3 separate regions of the Mus musculus genome follow, and all the other regions are reported to be linked to region 1. Evidence: microRNA targets listed by miRTarBase, many of them from high-throughput screens and not tested one by one. Region 1 holds a microRNA gene; each other region holds the end of a gene's coding sequence.
What was found. Region 1 holds the annotated microRNA mmu-miR-324-3p (CCACUGCCCCAGGUGCUGCU, at 3,132-3,151, opposite strand). A microRNA usually pairs through its seed, bases 2 to 8, with sites in the 3' UTR of a target mRNA and lowers its output. Matches are read on the target gene's strand: a 7mer-m8 pairs with bases 2 to 8, a 7mer-A1 pairs with bases 2 to 7 and ends in A, and an 8mer does both.

Region 2: the mRNA of Pygb is a reported target of mmu-miR-324-3p. The part of its 3' UTR that is shown has no 7-base or 8-base seed match.
Region 3: miRTarBase lists Zfp592 as a target of mmu-miR-324-3p. Seed matches in the 3' UTR shown: 7mer-m8 at 1,867-1,873 and 7mer-A1 at 1,183-1,189.

The regions. Positions count from the first base shown.
Region 1 is chr11:70,009,252-70,015,245 of GRCm38, reverse strand. It overlaps Mir324 (microRNA 324), which reads right to left and starts at 3,203; the gene lies at 3,115-3,203. It overlaps Acadvl (acyl-Coenzyme A dehydrogenase, very long chain), which reads left to right. Exons shown (of 20, transcript NM_017366.3): 2 at 51-129; 3 at 388-453; 4 at 543-615; 5 at 703-767; 6 at 867-1,001; 7 at 1,668-1,812; 8 at 1,945-2,074; 9 at 2,163-2,288; 10 at 2,600-2,798; 11 at 2,956-3,060; 12 at 3,476-3,562; 13 at 3,648-3,710; 14 at 3,800-3,901; 15 at 3,981-4,078; 5 more. The coding sequence ends at 4,950. It overlaps Dvl2 (dishevelled segment polarity protein 2), which reads right to left. Exons shown (of 15, transcript NM_007888.4): 15 at 5,137-5,994. The coding sequence ends at 5,654.
Region 2 is chr2:150,828,284-150,834,277 of GRCm38, reverse strand. Pygb (brain glycogen phosphorylase) reads right to left here. Exons shown (of 20, transcript NM_153781.1): 18 at 5,700-5,834; 19 at 4,584-4,650; 20 at 2,530-3,916. The coding sequence ends at 3,764. Abhd12 (abhydrolase domain containing 12) reads left to right here. Exons shown (of 13, transcript NM_024465.3): 13 at 1,138-1,763. The coding sequence ends at 1,177. Among named protein-coding and RNA genes, the nearest start is that of Pygb, 44 kb to the right of the region's middle.
Region 3 is chr7:81,039,252-81,045,245 of GRCm38, reverse strand. Zfp592 (zinc finger protein 592) reads right to left here. Exons shown (of 10, transcript NM_178707.4): 9 at 5,981-5,994; 10 at 84-3,898. The coding sequence ends at 3,383. Among named protein-coding and RNA genes, the nearest start is that of Alpk3, 15 kb to the left of the region's middle.

The DNA of each region.
Region 1 (5,994 bases):
GGACACTGGGTCTGGGAACCAGGGCAGAACTGAACCCCGACTCCTTACAGCTCGCGATCTACTACTGTGCTTCAGGGACAACCCCGGCCTATCTCTGCCCAGCGACTTTATGCCAGGGAGGCCACTCAGGTAAGTGACAGTGGATGAGGGAGACGGACGTAGAAATGCGAGTTGCCAGTTCCCACTAGCCTGCGACCGACAGGGGTCTCTCTCTTCGACCCAGTCACCTGGTGGCAGTTCTGTCACTGAAAGTAGGGGAAAGGGCACGCCAGGGTGCCCTAGTGAGAAAGTAATGGAACATGCACCAAACGCACTTCCTAGAGCTAGCGCTTCCTGCACACCTTTTAAGACCCATCTCCAGCCTAACTGCTCTGCCCTTCCCTCCAGGCAGTTCTGGACAAGCCAGAAACCCTCTCCTCTGATGCTTCCACCAGAGAAAAACCAGCCAGGGCAGTAAGTGACTGGAAACTGGACTGACACTTAAAAACCAGGAGTAGAATCACCCCAGGCACCCACCTAAGATCCTTTCCTTCCTTGCCTAGGAATCGAAGTCCTTTGCTGTGGGGATGTTCAAAGGCCAGCTTACCATTGATCAGGTGTTCCCATACCCATCTGGTAAGTAAAGGCTTAGTCAGTCACTGACAGTGTGGGCAGGGGAGCCCTCTCTGCCTGACTAGCCTGCTCTTCTCTCCCATTATACAGTGCTCAGTGAAGAACAGGCACAATTTCTCAAAGAGCTGGTGGGACCAGTGGCCCGGTTCTTTGAGGTAAGGGATGACCAGAGCTCAGCCCCTCCTGGGCTAAGTAAGATGCTAAGGAGCTTAAAGGAGCCTCTGAATATGAGATTCTTCCTATTCCTTGCTCAGGAAGTGAATGACCCTGCCAAGAACGACGCCTTGGAGAAGGTGGAGGACGACACTTTGCAGGGACTCAAGGAACTGGGGGCATTTGGCCTGCAAGTACCCAGCGAGCTGGGTGGTTTGGGCCTCTCTAATACCCAGGTGAGAGGATCCCCCTGGTTAACATTCCACAGTGCTCCAGTTTTGGTAGACTCACCACTAGGGCCAAGCAAGTAGCCAGAGTAGTGTCTACCTGCCTGCCCTTTTTCTCACACATTTTCCCCTGAAACATGATCTGTGTGCAGCCCACTAGGACCGTGGACCTAACTGTGGTTCCCAGGTCTTTGGGGACTGTGTGAGGCAACACAGCAGGCAACCTTCCCATCAAGACCAAGGGCAGCTGGGCACAGTGGCACTCATCTTTAATCCCAGCATGGAGGATGGAGGCAGAGGCGGGCGGATCTCGAGTTCAAGGCCAGCATGGTCTACAGAGGGAGTTTCAGGACAGTCAGGGAAACCCACAAAGTTTCAGGCTAGCTGGAGCTACAAAATGAAACTGCCTCAAAAGGGGGGGGGGGGATTATCTAAGCCCTTTGATGTTCCTGCTCCTGTCTCCTTAGGAAAGACTCCAGGGTTTCATGCTAGAGAAGCAGCCTACCTGGGAGCCCCATGGCCAGCCTCCCTGTGCCCTGTCCAAACCCACTCCACTCCCCATGCTCAGAGTAGAGATGCTCCAAGCCCCAGGCCAGGTCTGCCCTGCTGCCCATTCTTGTTGAGGACAAGTTCAGTGCAGCCAGCTACAATCCCAGATGCCTCCTTTCCCTCCAGTATGCTCGCTTGGCAGAGATTGTGGGCATGCATGACCTTGGTGTTAGCGTTACCCTGGGAGCTCATCAGAGCATCGGTTTCAAAGGCATCTTGCTCTATGGCACAAAGGCCCAGAGAGAAAAATACCTTCCCAGAGTGGCATCTGGTAAGGCAACCTTAAGAGACCCAGGGGTAAGGAGTGTGACACTGCTCACGGTGTTACAAGGAACTGCCTGGGGATGAGGGGGTGCAACTCTGGTGGTCAGGATCCCCAGTGAGCCCGTTCTCTCCCCCACAGGGCAGGCTTTGGCTGCTTTCTGCCTAACAGAGCCCTCGAGTGGATCCGATGTAGCCTCCATCCGAAGCTCAGCCATACCCAGCCCCTGTGGAAAATATTACACTCTCAATGGGAGCAAGATCTGGATCAGGCAATCTTCCGTTTCTCTTCTACCCTTCAGCCCAGTGGCCTGACCCTGCTGCTCTAAACCCTATACTAACCACCTCACTCTTCCACAGTAATGGGGGCCTGGCTGACATTTTCACTGTCTTTGCCAAGACGCCAATTAAAGATGCAGCCACGGGGGCCGTGAAAGAGAAGATCACAGCTTTTGTAGTGGAAAGGAGCTTCGGAGGGGTTACCCAGTGAGTATGGGGCAAAACAGAATCAAGGATGGGGACAGCACTGGGCTCTCAAGAGCAAATAGTCAATACAGGCCACGCTGGGGCTATCTCTGTACAAGAGGCACCCACAGGAGGTGAGCAGTTTTGTTTCCACTGGGGGAACACAGGCTAACAGGCCATAGCTAGATATCCGTAGCCCCTGGGGCACATAGGCAGTGCCCTGTATCCTTTTTATAGTCTGGGGAGTTCTCCCCTGATCATGAGACCCGAAAAGGCCGTTTTCCCCCACAGCAACCTGTTCATACCTCAACTTTCCTGCCCTGCCTTTTCAGTGGGCTCCCTGAAAAGAAGATGGGCATCAAAGCATCTAACACGTCAGAGGTGTACTTTGATGGAGTGAAGGTGCCATCAGAGAATGTGCTAGGAGAGGTGGGAGATGGCTTCAAGGTTGCTGTCAACATCCTCAACAACGGAAGATTCGGGATGGCTGCAACCCTCGCAGGCACCATGAAATCCCTCATTGCCAAGGCGGTGAGTCCCAGCCCAGTCCCTAGCTAGCACATGTCCCTGACTGCCTCAGAGCGCCGACACACACACATGCACACTCGACCATCGGCACAGTTAGGCCTCCAGCCCGTCCAGGTGGAAACTGAAGAACCACAGTGGGGTAACATGCGCCCTCTTGCAGGTTGATCATGCTACTAATCGTACCCAGTTTGGGGACAAAATTCACAACTTTGGGGTGATCCAGGAAAAGCTGGCTCGGATGGCTATTCTGCAGTATGTGACTGAGGTAAGGGCCTCCTGGGCCCCTTCCCTGGAGCCCTATGGCTTTCTTCACAGTTGGGTCAGACTACAACCCCCAGCAGCACCTGGGGCAGTGGGTCTCCAGCTTTACACCAATGCCCTAGGGGATGCGAGGAGGCATAGTCAGTTCTCTTCTGGAGGGTGGTGCTGCTCTGCTAAATGCTGCCCAGATGCACCAAACACGACTTTTAACCCACCCCTTTACAAAGTCGGAAGCCTCGAAGCCCCTGATATACCAGAGGGTCACATATTGGACATATTTGACCTGACCAGGAGGCTAAAGTGAATTCAAGGGTTGGAGGAGTAGATCAGCACTGGTCTTGAAGGTCTGAGCATTAGCCATTCTGTCTGATGCAGCCCTTCCCTGTTGTCTTCCCCATGTCCCGACCATGCTCCCTTAGTCCATGGCTTACATGCTGAGTGCCAACATGGACCAGGGATTCAAAGACTTCCAGATAGAAGCCGCCATCAGCAAAATCTTTTGCTCGGTGAGGACCCAGGTGTGATGGGAGGGCGGAGTCCAGATTAGGACCTCAGCTCAAAAATCCAACTCATCTGGTTCTCTGTCCTCAGGAGGCGGCCTGGAAAGTGGCAGATGAGTGCATCCAAATAATGGGGGGCATGGGCTTCATGAAGGTACAGAGTATTCCTCGGCAGGGGGGGGCATCTGTTCAGAGTGGACAGGCACATCTCAACAGAGGTTTCTGTGTCTTCCTGCGTGCCAGGAACCAGGGGTGGAGCGTGTGCTCCGAGATATTCGAATCTTCCGGATCTTTGAAGGGGCAAATGACATTCTTCGACTGTTTGTGGCTCTGCAAGGCTGTATGGTAAGAGGAAGGAGGATGAGAGAGAGCAGCTGGGGAGGACACTGAGTCCTCACTGTCGCCGTCCCCCTTCTCTCCACAGGACAAAGGAAAGGAACTCACTGGGCTGGGCAATGCCCTGAAGAATCCTTTTGGAAACGTTGGCCTCCTGATGGGAGAAGCAGGCAAACAGCTGAGACGGTACCTCATGGGCCGGGGCCAGGGTCAGAGTCAGGGTCAAACAAGATGGGAGGCCGCAACTGACCAGTCACTCTTCCATCTCCTCTCAGGAGGACAGGAATCGGCAGTGGTTTGAGTCTGTCAGGGATTGTCCACCCAGAGTTAAGTCGCAGTGGTGAACTGGTGAGTGAGCCTTAAAGCAGAGCCTGCGGTGGCTGTGCGCTGCCTTCCTCTCCTGAGCTCTGTCTGTGACTCTTGTCTCTTCAGGCAGTGCAGGCTCTGGATCAATTTGCCACCGTGGTGGAGGCCAAGCTGGTGAAACACAAGAAAGGGATTGTCAGTGAGTGAGCTCTGCAACCCCCTTCCCTCCCTGATTCCCTCCCTCCGACTAACAGCCCCACCCTCATCTACCTGACAGACGAGCAGTTCCTGCTGCAGCGACTGGCGGACGGCGCCATTGACCTCTATGCCATGGTGGTGGTTCTGTCCAGGTAAGGCGGCAGCGAGGGACGCTTGGCAGGCTAGAGCCACAGAGGAGCTGGGCCAACACCAGCACTCAGGATCATTTTAACCTCTGTTTCCTCACAGAGCCTCAAGGTCCCTGAGTGAGGGCTACCCGACGGCACAGCATGAGAAAATGCTCTGTGATAGCTGGTGCATTGAGGTGAGCCTTGGAGCTCCCCAGTACAGGTGGGCCTTGGAGCTCCCCAGTACAGGACGGCCTGACCGTCCCTCCCCTTCCCTCTCCCCAGGCTGCAACTCGGATCCGAGAAAACATGGCCAGTCTGCAGTCCAGCCCTCAGCATCAGGAGCTCTTCCGGAACTTCAGAAGCATCTCCAAGGCCATGGTGGAGAATGGTGGCCTGGTCACCGGTAACCCCCTGGGAATCTGAGACTCCCAATCAGGCCCTGGCAAGGTCATGTGCCTTCTCTGATGCCAAAACCCTTTATGGGGGTGATGGAGTACTTATTGCCTTAACAATAAATTTTCTACCAAGTCACTGTCTGCCGTGAATGTCACTGCTCCCTCCTCTCCACTGCCTGCCTCGCAAAGAAAGGAGCCAGAGGCTTGGGGAGTTGGCCTCTATTTGCTTTATTTGGTGTTTTGTACAAGTGACTAAAATAAATAGAGTAACAAAGGCAGCTACACAGTCCCCAACACACCACCAGCCTCCTTGGACTGCTGTCTGGGGTACCCAGCCCACACCTTCTTCTTCCCAGGGTACCACTGACCACCACCCACCCTCAACATGAGAGCTGACTAGGCACCTGGAGGTGGCGGTCATATTCTGGGGTTAGAAGGGATTCTCCATATAAAAGAGGAACTGTCTATTTAAAAAAATACTCCCCCAAATATAAGAAAGTCTATTTTAACCCCCCAAAAAGCTTATAAAAAATAAAGCTAAAAATAACCAAAGGTCCCCATCTACCCCCGAGGAAGAGGGGGAAGGACCAGGCACTGCTGGTGAGAGTCACAGTGGCAAAAACGTTTTGGTAGGCACCAGCCGCCAGGCTGAGCCCAGGCACTATGAAGGGCACCAGGCTGAAACTTGCCAGGCCAAGGGCACAGACCCAATGTGGCCTCAAGATGGGTCCCTACATAACATCCACAAAAAACTCACTGGGGTTGCCCATGGCCATGTGGAAGCTCTGACGGCTAGCTGTCAGTTCTGGGGGCACGGAGCCCAGGTCTCTGACTGGAGGGGCACCAGGGGGCTGCACTGCTGTGGAGACAGGGGGTGGGGGTGGAGGCATCATAACTACCATCATGGGGTTATAGGGGAGAGCCATGCCAGATGGGGCTCCATAGGGATGGAGCCCGGGAAGAGCTCGGAGATTAGGAGGAGCGCCTGTCGAGCCCCTGGATGGAGGAGGGCCGCCATCACCAGTCCCACCAGGCTCCCCACCCCGCCGAAGGCTGCCTCCCCGGCTGGAGA
Region 2 (5,994 bases), not on the chromosome of region 1:
TGAGACATTCTCTTCTAACCCTTGAGCCTCTCTGGACAGCTAGCCTCACACCTAGCTGTGCAGCAAGTGACAGTCACTGAAGCCATTTGAGCCGCTCAGAAGTGTGCTGCAGGGTCAGTGATTCAAGGGCCTTCCACCAACACCATGTAGACGTTACAACGTTTGTTCTCCTTTCTTCTGGATAATATGATCAGATGGGGCATATGGTCTTCCGGTACACATCGCACAAACGCACATGAGCACACGAATAGGGGAGTACCTAACAGTGTGCACATGTACCATCCTTACTCAGGCTGCCATGTGTGTGCAGAGTGTGCAAGCATCCTGGGGGCCTTTGAGTGCACATGCACCACTCCCAGTACATGGAAGGCTTCATATGTACAGGAGTACAGGATACAGCTTCCTAAAGGGAGGCCCTGTTTCTGGCTACTACACACTAGTCACTCTTGGACAAGATGTAGGCTGCAGCCCAGAACCAAAGTATGAGTGTGGAGTAGCAAGGATCAGTTTCTGACTGGCCTCCCATGTGGCCATCCTCCATGCTCCTACATAGATTTCCCCATAGCATCACCTAGCTCCTTGTCAGATGACCCAGGCTCCACTCGCCACCACTCAGCAGTCCAACCCTCCCTGCCCACCATACTGGGGCTGCTGTGCAGCACATGAACCCAGAGCACTGGGCTACTTGTTGAGCACTGTTGCTGCTGAAAGGAGTCCGCTGTTCATGCTGGTAGGCTTGAGAAGTGGGCTAAGGGCCAGTTATTCCCAACCTGTGACTAAAACTGGTTGCTTAAATTATCTCCCAAAGAGCAATATCCTGTGTAGTCCAGACCCTAGATCCTTAGAAATTCCAGAAGCAAAGCTACATTACAGTAAAGGCTGCTATTTGGGGCAGGGAGCTGAATAAGTTCTGTTTAGAATTGACATCTTTCCCCTCCCCATTCCCAGCCTTGCCTGGGATTTGACCTGGGAGCTGCAGTGTTCTTCCTGCCTCACTCCGAGGGCCTTCTTGTCAGGTGGCCCGGAGCCCTAGATTCTTTGCTGCCTCTACCACCTAAGGCAGCCACTTGAGGACTGTGGGAGTGTGCTCTTAGGTCCAAACACAGTTTCACTTAGGCTTACCCTTCTCTGGTCTAGGGAATTCCTAGGGAAGTCGGAACCGGAACGCCAGCACTGAGACTGGCCCATGAAGGAGCATGAAGACCCACCTTCCTTCCTTCTCCCCTGGACAGCAGCCTGGCACCCCGAAGCCCAGAGTGCCACCACCTGTGGTGCTCAGGAGCCCAGTGCACACCTAGAAAGAGGACTCAGACACAGCGGGCAGAGGCTCCTGATGGACCTGTGAGGAAAGCCCGGTGGCAGGCAGGTGGCCCCCCCAGCCCTCTGGTGACCACTGTATCTGAGCTCTTTTTGGGAAGGCTTATAGACAGCAGGTGGACCCCATATGCTGGGCATAGGGAGCCTGGGAAGGGCTCAGGAGCTCAGGACCACTCCAGGCTCTCTGGCACCATTGCTTAAGATTCAGGAAAATGGTTCTTTCTGCCCTTCCTAGCGTTTACAGAACAGACTCCAAGTGGTTCAGTTTGTCTCCTACAGCTCATTTACCTGCTTGCCTTCCTCAGCTGTCCCTGCCTCTCCTGGCATCTGATTACCCACAGTAAGGGGCACCTGGATCTGCACTTCTTCCATTCTGCCCACCTGTCTGTCACCTAACCTGGCCGTAGACTGAGCATTTATTTAAGAATAAAATCTCGGTGGTGGTCTATTTATTGTTTTCTCTACAAAGCAGGAATCAGAGTTTCTTCCTTTGCTACCCCTCACAGCTCTGTTCCTGACCCCTGCCCCAGACACAATCCCCACAGAAGTCAAAGATCTGCCCCCAACTCTTCAGGCACTGGGTTCTGCTCTGAACGGAGGCACCTACTCCTAAAAGGCAGGCCTAGACAAAGAGCCCACATGACCACGCTACGCAGGAACATTGGCATGGCCAACACAGAAGCACTGATCTTCCAGAGGATATGAGCCGTATAACCAGGACCTGGGAACCGGCCAGACTCATTTCACCAGTGTCTTGGTCCAAGTGTGTTTGGCCTTTTGTCAAAGCAGCCTGACCTAAAGCTGTCCACCTGCAGACTAAGCAGGGCTGAGAAGTTAGAGCACAAGGCGTAGCAAGACCTGACATGAGGAGCAGCCGTGGGCTAGTTAAAGGACCCATGTCTGGAACTCATGCTCACCCACAGCAAAGTATCATAGCGCCGGCTCCCTAAGTGATCCTCACGACACGGGAAACAGGCCTTCCCTGCCTCACTCTAGGCCAGGGATTTAGCTTTACTGAACCCAGCCCGTGGTACCCACCATCAGGGTCCTTGTATAAACTGGTCTGTGCCAGCAACTTGCGCCTGGCTACAAAGGGACAACTGCAGCCTATTCCACAGGGTGACTATCCAGGCTTATATCCTCTAGCCTCTCGAGGGAGTTACCTGAAACTGTATGTCATGGTGGAAATGCAGATACCACAGTGACCAACCATAGGCATAGAAGTTTAATCCATTTCTCATACAAGGAGGTAATAGCAAGTAGTAGAAGGGTGGTCATGTATTGCGGCTTCAGGGGACCTCATGCACAGGGCAGCAGATGACCAGCCCTAGAACCTGCCCACCCACCCCCACAAGCTACCACAGTGGCTCCGGTGATTTAAGTCCTGAAAAGACACTTCCCAGCAAATGCTCCCATGGTGGGGAAAGCGAGGGGTTCTCCTGCCCACCCCCAACCAGATAGAGCAGTGCAAGGTGGTGAAGCCTCTGGAAGGATAGTTTTATGTGGTTTCTATGACAACGCACTCTCCTTTGGGCGGCACTTAATGTAGATTCTGCCCTCTGAGGAGCACAGCTCCTGTGGTGGGTCCTCACCATGCTGCTGTAGCAGAGTGGAGTGTACACTGGACCCTCTGCAGGGCCAGCAGCTTAGTCGTCAGCCTAGCAGAAATATCCACACTGACCAAGTTCAAGGTTTACTTGCTAAAAAGGAAGGCTTAGCTAGTTTCAGTTCCTCCTGAAGTGTTATTTCCTGTTGAAAAAGCAAAGAACTAAACCAACCCTCTATAAAATTGCCAGTCCTCAACCAAGGTCTCAGTTACGGGATAAAGGTCTCTCTCTCTTCAGTGCTCCTCTCCAGGGGTTCTGGGTTCTACTTGACACCCACAGGGTTCCACAGATGGCTAGAGGCATGGCCTATATGGGTCAACCACCCACATACTCAGTACAGTCAAGGGCAAAGGACAGGAAGCTGTGAGCATGAAGCCTGAAGCAAAGGTTCTACCCAGCAGGCCAACAAGACCACACACTGGGGCTGGCTGTACCCTATGGCTGGTGACCCAGGTACTAGCAGAACATAGGAACACTGGCTACCACAGATCCCTATTCACACCCCAAACTAAAGGCTTAAGCTCACTCAGCTACGTGCAGGATTTCAGGGGCTCAGCTCCACTCCCTCCCTGCTCGGCCTCTGGGGATGATGATGGGCTGAAGCTGTGGGGACCATCTCTGCCCATCTGTGCTGTGAACTCTGCAACAGTTCTTCTGTAAGAAGCCAGGAGGATGCCACGCCTTCTTCCTCATCCAGGTCCTCAAAACCATTCCCATGGTCCTTCCTGGAAGCATGGCACTTCGGATAGCAGGGACCAGCGGCTGCTTGCAGTGCCTGAAGACTGGCGTGGGCACAGTCAGCTAAGCAAGCCACTGCTCTCACTGTGTGGGATAATTAATTAGTCCTTGGGGAGGTTGGGGGGTGGGATCTGCAGGTCAGAGGGCTCCACACCCCAGATCTCCCGGGCGTATTCAGTGATGGTCCGGTCACTGGAGAACTTGCCAGAGCAGGCTATATTCCTGATCACCTTTTTAGTCCACTCCTTGGAATTCTGTGAAGGGAAAAACAGACTGATTAGCATTTGGCAGAGCTAAGGGATCCTAGGAGCCCAAGCCTTCAGAGCATGATGACATTAACAGATAAACTCTGAGCCTTGGGGCAGCCTGTGGTAGAAGAGACTGCAGCCATGTGCTCACAGAAAAGCCCTCACTTGGCCAGAAGAGACACACTGGATTAAGGGACCGGTTGCTTAAGACAGGATTACTGTTTTGTCTTCTAGAGGCTCCTAAGGCATGGCTCGCAACATTAAGCCAAGAGCACAAACTGGTGAGCAACTGCCACAGGCAGACCCAGTGTCCAAAAATGACTAAGCACTCCCTTGTAAGACTTCAGCTTCATTACAGCTTGCTCTAGAACTTCAAAACTGTCCCCGGACTGGAGGCTCCAGACGTCAATGGAAGGAGCCTTCTAGGAAGATCTTGATTCTCGTGGGCCAGACCCGTGGGTGATATTTTCAGGTTCCTTATTCTAGTTTTGACTATCAGAAAAGGTTTTCCTCATGACACCTAATGCCCGGAGAGCTGACCTAGAAACAGGCTGGACAGACTGATATCAGAGCAGCCCACCCCTCTGGTCTCAACCATGGGTTGAGAAGTGGTCTAACCCCCAAACAGATCCACACAGACCTAGCCAAACACATCTAGGCCCACAAGCCTTACCCGGTATAGACGGTCCACCTGGGCCTGGCATTGGATGTAGGCTTCATAGTCTGCAAATACCTTGAATCTGAAACAGGAGTAGGAGGCTGGGTCAGGGCAGGATGTGCAGTGGGTAAGGAGCCCAGCCTAGAATGCCTGTCCTCTGGTATTTCCCAGAGGACAATTTCCCAGCCAGTTGATTGGCCCAAACTAATGCCGTTCATATCCTCCCAGCTCTGTTGGGGGCCAAAGTGGAGACTATTCTGCCTGTGGGTACCAGGCTGTACTAAGTCCACAGGCTTCTCTGAGAGTCCTTAGGTTCTGGAGGTGCTTTTTAGAAAGTCTGGTTTCACCAATTTCTTTTAAGGAAATTGTCATTTCCAAAATAGGTGTTAGAAGTGCACAACCCAAACGGCAAGCCCACGGTGCATTTTATTTTATTATCTAGGCAGAGGCATGACTCACTATTTAAAAGTCCCTCATCGTAGCCTCCAACAGGGTCCCACTCTGTGCTGTGCATCTAGTCTGAAGCCAGTGGGCAGCACTGGCTTTAAAGAACCTTAAAGACAGGTTCACCAGAGCAATCCAAAGTGGAGAGGTTAACACCAGATTCAACTTTTACCAGCAGGGTAAACACTACCCCGAGGCACCAGTGTCTTTGTAGACCTGCCATCTAACTAGGTTGGGTATAACCATGCCATGTTTAACGATATACCTCAAACACTGACTACATTGTAAGTTTGCAATGAGACAAACTGACTCCATTTTTACCAGGGAATGTCCCTGAGACTAACACTTATCATAGATAACCTCCCTGCCATCACATAGAGGGTGCACTCCTGAGCACCCTCTGCTGGTCTGCAACAGCCCAGGGGACAGAGCTCCGCCTTGTTCACACCTATGAGGACTGGGGGCTGGGTGGTCCAAGGTCCCCGAGGTATCACTAGAAGCCACTGCAGATGTGGCTGTGAGTCTGGCTGTGGTAAGGTCTCCTGGACTGAGGCGGAGAGAAGATTATAAAACCAGATCTGACCCTCATAACATGGAGTTTTCAGCCCACCAGGAGAGTTCAGCTGTCTCAGTAGTGGGGACTAGTGGCCAACTTGGAAAGCCAAAGTAATAGAGGTTGTCTCCTACCTGTCGTGGTACATCAGCATGTTAACCACGTCCTTGAAGCAGTCTGGATCTTTGGGAGAAAAGAAGCCACTGCTGATCTGATCCACAGCCTGCCTCAGCTCAGGCAGGCGCTCATAGAATTCTCTGGCATTGTACCTAGGAGAGATGAGGTCACTTAGCACAGGAAACCCCAGACAAGCAGCCTCAAAGACAGGCTGTGGGAACAGGTTATGCTTGAATAGAGGTTATGCCTCTATTCTGTGGCAACTCCTCCTGGTGGCCAAGGGTATCAGCTACTGATCCATGTGGCTTCTAG
Region 3 (5,994 bases), not on the chromosome of region 1:
GAAGCCTTTAAAGAGTTACACTGAGCCAACCTCTACAACACTGCGTAAGTGGGAAAAAAGCAGGCTTCAGAACATGACGGATAGAATGCTACTGTTTGTATTAAAAATAGATATATAAATATACATATTTATAAACTCATAAATGCATAGAATTGCTCTGAAAGGATACACAAGGTAGAGATAACAATGAGGAACTCTGGCAAGGGCACTGGAAGCTGACCTCCACCAAGAACTTTACTTTTTATTGTATGTTCATTTGTACTGTTGAATGCCTTATGTTGTCAAATGTATATGTATCTATTTTTCCAAACCCCCCCAAAAAAAGTTTTTTAAATTACCTGGTGTTGAATGTACAATGGTATACAGGACAGAAGTTCCTCAGCCTAGGGCAAGGCAAAATGTGGGAATTCTAAGGTGGGCCACAACACAACCATTAAATTTTTAAAACCCAGACTGTTTACATAAGAGGCAAATTCTTTACAACAATTAGTCCACGGAAATTCAGCATATCATTTTACAGAGACAAAGCAGTTAGAGAGTAAATACTAGTCATTTGTCAAGCCTCAGGGTATCCAGATGGGTAGCTTCTAGAGGGTAGCAGATCTAAGCTAGCTTGGTCAGGAGAGCATCCGCTGCAGGGGAAGTATCTGTTACAGCAAGCATCCTCGGATGACCGACAGTGTACTAAAACACTGTCCTGAGCAATCAGGAGATACTGACTCGAAGGGAACCGTGTGTTCCCCAGACATTAGGTAACCTCTTCTAAAGAGTGCTCCAGAAATGATGGCTCTTCATATGGAAAGTAAACCCCAGTGAGAGACGACATCAGGGACACCGCATGTGCAAACGCAGGGCCCTCCTTGGGGTGACAAGGCACTGGAGGATCTGACATTAAGGGGCACCCTGCCTTTTTTGGGAACTAGAAGGGTGGGCTTTGGATGGCTCCACACTGCTGACAGGCTGGCTGCAGCCAGAGCAGCCCTGTCACTAAGGCAGCACAGGTTTGACTCAGCACCGTCATCACAGGTAGCCCAATATGTCTGTCATTTAACCTAAGGCTGGTTTTTTGCCTCTGTAAAATAGAAGGGTAGCTGAGATCCTTGTGATGATGAAGTGAAAGTCTCTGGTAAGAGTTAAACAAGATGCTGGACCTGAGGAGGGCTGGGAATGCGATCTTCATCATCACTGCATAATGGATAAGCAAACGGGCCCCGTTCCTAACTGAACCCCACATCCAGTGAGATGAGCTCCACCTCACTGTGTCTACAAGTGCAGAAGCCCCTAGCCACATGGTAGCCTGGAACCTAGAGCGCTTGCGCACTCATGACCTCAGGAAAGTCTTGAAGTAGCTGGATGAGGATTCCTACCTCTGCTGAGAGAGGAGCCCATGAGGATGAGGGTGCTAGGGACTGGCTGAGGGCAGCACAGGTTTCCCACAGCAGGTCCTATTCTACTATTCCAAGAGGCTGGATCTGATATGAGGACAGTGGCTCCACCCTTAGTTTCTCCACCTTCTTTGTTCTCCAGCTCCCATGGTTTCTGAGTGGGAAGAAATGCAGCCATACAGCTCAAAGCCCTCCTTAAGAACCTGCTCTCATGAACGATCTGGGGTACAATGTTGGGTAATCTCCCACATGGGGGAGATTAGCATGAGGTGAAGGACTGACGGGATCTGAAGAGAAAGCAGGGTATGTGAAGGAACTGGGAAAGGGGCAGTGGCTGGCTTGGGACCCGCTCAGTAGGGCTTGCTTCCCTTCACTGTCAGCTGGGGAAGCAGAGAAGTGGAGGCCTTGCCAGAAAGAATGCTCATTAAAATGGTGTGTACAGCAGAGCCTCTCTGGAACCGAGGCAAGCACTAACTTTTCCCACTGCCACTAGCTTTTCACTAAAAATTTGGCATTTGATAGAGCAAGGAAAAAAAAAGTCTTCAGTTGTGAAAAGGTCATGCATATTTATCCAACTTGATTCCTAATTGGTATTCATGCCTCCCTTGAAAGATCAAGCCTAGGAACTCAGCCAGCACCCCTTCCCTGTGCTACAGGACCTAGCCCGAGCCTGTTGGGTCCAAGAACACCTTCCCACAACTTGTCCCAGTCTCATCTAATCCCATTTCTACCAAGTCTGGATTTGCTGTGGCAATAGCAGTCTCTGAATGTTGTATGAATGTCACAGAATTCCTTCTCCTCGTTCCTCACCAAGAATCTCTTGGGTTGAAAACCCTTCGATGGAAAGATGTCCAGAGAATATCAATAGACCTTAAGGCTAATGCTGCCAGGCCAGTCCTTGGAGGTGGCTCTTGACCAGTACTGACACCCCACCACACCACCCTGCTCCTTTAGAACTCTCCAGAGAACCAAGATGTATAGGACTCCTGCTTTCCCAAGCACAAGCCCCAGAACCTAGAGCTCCCGTGGGCAGCAGGAAATGCTGTTTTGCTTCAGATGGGGCAGTCAGGGCTGTCTGGGAAGAGTCTCAGGTGGAGCAGGGAAGGGCTAGCTCACCAGAAGAGGAATACAAGAGCCTACCTGCATGGTAAGATTTTTTTTTATTGAAATATAGTCTGAGCAACAAGAGTGTAGCCGAGAGGAGGAGCTGGCCTTCCTGAGGCAGCAGCAGCTCTAATGGCACAGGAACAAAAATACAAATACCCCAATATCTGTGTGCCACACACCCCACCTGTCAGGGATTGCAGGACAGCAGCAGAAGGAAAACCCACCACAGCCCCAAAGAGGATCTGGCTCTTGGCACCTGCCTGCCTTGGCCATACTTCGTGCTTCTCTCAGGTCGAAACAGGAGTGTACTGCCATTTTTCCCACCCACAGAGACATGATCAGAGTGACAGGTGAAGTCCTCAGGATGATTCTGGGAAAAAGAATCAGAGAAAGAAGACAGGAAGGAAAGGGTGAACAAGGGACCTCACCAAGCCAAGCTGGGCAGAGTTCCCAGAGGAATGGCCAGCACCCTTCATTTCCCTCCTTCTTGGGCTCTGAAGGCAGGAAGGAGAACTCTGCGGTGTCTCCCGATGAACACTGCAGGTAGGAAGCCCAGAGCACAGCTACTGAGGGGTTGCACACTGAGCTGACACACAGCACTGGGGCTGTACTACCTAAGTAGCCTGGGGCTGGAAGGACATGGATGAGAATTGGGGTATCAATAAGCAGCATTAAGCCATAAATAACAGAAGCAAATTCAGAGCTGTGAAGAATTCTGGGTGACCCCACATTTTGGGGGGCTGGGAGATATCCAGAACCCACAGCTCAGAATAGACACTGCTCCAGAGCACAGTGGCCACACAAACACTGCGACAGAGCTCTTTATTTCCCACGGTCTGCACAGCAGCTGGAGGGTACCACAGCCCGACTGATGGCTACAAAGCCTCTGGTCACACCTGAGGAGATAGTGCATGGCTGTTCTGGTCCTGAGAGGCCTGTGGTTGATTCTGAGGGTCTTGGGCACTGTCTTCATCCAGAGCCAGACCTTGCTGACCTCCTAGGTCAGTAACCAAAGGCTCACTGGCACATTCTTCCAGTCCATTCTCTTTCGTCTCCATGGCTACCTCCTCTCCAGAGCATGCCTCGGAGTCTGGGGCTTCCACCTTCACCTCCACAATGTCTTCTCCCCCCTCTTCCTGGTCTCTCACTTTGTGGACTATGAACAGGTGGCGGTTGAGGGAGCTGGTAGATGTGTAGCACAAGCCACAGAGAAGACACTGGGCTGTGGAGCTGTCCACCTGGTGCTGAGGTATGTGGCTCTGGAACTCAAGTTCCGAGTCTGTGGCGAAGGTGCACTTTGCACACTGAAACAGGGACTTGTGCCTTTTGGTGGAGGAAACAGTCGCACCATTGCTAGTGCCTGGAGCGTCTGCCATTCTGCTGACAGGTCTTTTCAGATGGTTCACCTGGAAGACAAGTGTGAGCAGAGATGAAGCCAAGCTCACATGCACTTTCTGCTCATCAAGTGCCAGGAACTCAGGCGGAGGTCAGAAGACAACTTTTGGGGAGTCATTTTTTCTCCCTCCTCTGTAGGTTCTAGGGACAGAAGTATTCGCTTTCTTTCATGTGTAAGTGTTTTACCTGCGTGTATGCATGTATACCATGTGCATGCTTGGTGCCTGAGAAGGTCAAAAGAGAGTACTGGATTCTCTAGAACTGCACTTGTGGGTAGTTCTGAACCACCATGTGGGTGCTAGGAATCTAATCGGGTCCTTTCACAGCCACAGGACGAGTTCTTAACTGCTGGGGCAGTTCTCTGGCCCCAATCCTTCCCTTTCAGTGTTCTGTACTCACGCTTAACAGAAAGGTAAAAGGAGTCTCCCCTAACCTACTCCTCAGGTCTGTTCAGAATGGATCACCTGCTAAGCTTAGTCTTTGTCAGCTGGGTCACCTGGGTAGAGGGAAAATGCCTCCTTCAGGCTGACCTACAGATAAGTCTGCAGGGCGTTTTCTTAGACTGACCTTAGATTAGATTTCATTAGACTTGACATGGAAGGTCCCAGCTCACTGTGGGTGGTGTTAACCCTGTGCAGGTGTTCTGAACTATCTAATAAAGCAAGCTTACTAAGATCTAGAAAGCCAGCCAGTAAGCAGTGCTCCTCAGGTTCCTGCCTTCAATTTTGGCCCTGATCTCCCTCCATGACGGACTATAAACTGTAAGCTGCAATAAAGTCTCTCCTCTCCAAATTGTTTTTGCCCAAAGTCTTTATCACACCAATAAGAGAATAAACTAGGAATCCTGGGTTTTATAATTCCTCCAAGAAACATCTCATGCATGCTTAGATACAAGAAGAAGGCTGTGAACTGACTGCACGTCATTGCTTTTGTGCACGTCTCTCATCCTACACTCATACTTGATAGCGTACTGGAACCCATCCCCATGTGAGCAAACACTGAGGCTTCTTTCTGCCCTGGCAGCAGCACACTGACCTACTGTAGGCTGACAGCGTCCTCCAGCAGATACCCAAGTTTCTCTTTGTCACTGAACACACCGCTATGCCTAATGCCCAAAGCTCTCTAATCGAAAAGTCCTAGGGCAGAACTGCTGTGTTGAAGGGCATGCCTGTTCTCATGTATTGGTGCTGAGAAAAAAGAAAAAAGGGAAGAAAGAAAGAAAGAAAGAAAGAAAGAAAGAAAGAAAGAAAGAAAGAAAGGAAGAAAGAAAGAAAAAGAAAGAAGGAAAGAAACTGACATTCTACCTACTCTGTGTGCAAAGGCTTCTACTAGCTAGCACCATTTCCTGAATGGCCAAAAAGTTTCAAGACAGCCCATGGCCTCCAGGTAGCTCTAACCTCCTGAGTCCTTCTCAGAGCACTTGGCCCTGTGCCATGATGGGGGGAGAATCTGCAGCACAGGGCACCAGGCTGCTCTAGAAGCTGACTGGAGTCAGGAAAGGAGCATGCAACAGGAATGAGGAAGAAAGCAGTGACTGGCCAGCTAGCCGAGCAGAGAGGGGTCGAGACTGGATTCTTTCCACAGCTACTGCCACAGAGAAGTAATAATCCTTCCTTGACAGGGCAGCTCTGCCTGCTGCCTGCCTGCTTGCCTGCTGCCTGCCTGCCTGCCTGCCTGTTGTCTGCCTGCCTGCCTGCCTGCCTGCTGCCTGCTTGTGTGCTGCCTGCCTGCCTGCCTGCTGCCTGCTTGCCTGCTGCCTGCCTGCCTGCCTGCTGCCTGCTTGCCTGCTGCCTGCCTGCCTGCCTGCCTGTTGTCTGCCTGCTGTCTGTCTGCCTGCCTGCCTGCCTGCCTGAGTGGATTTTAAGGAAGCAGAAGTCAGGTTACAGCAGCAAAAGATTTTCCTATAGATCTTTGCTTGTTTCCTTCTTATGTTCAGGGCTCTAATGGGACACACAAAAACTAGTGACCACATTAGATGTTACTCTGCTTTCTCCATGGTCACAATCACTACTGGGTTCATGAAGCCCTTCTAATGCTTTTCCAGTCCCAGGCCTCCCTGGGCAGCCAGTTCACAGCAGTGATTCCACACTCACCTGAGGGGAAGGTC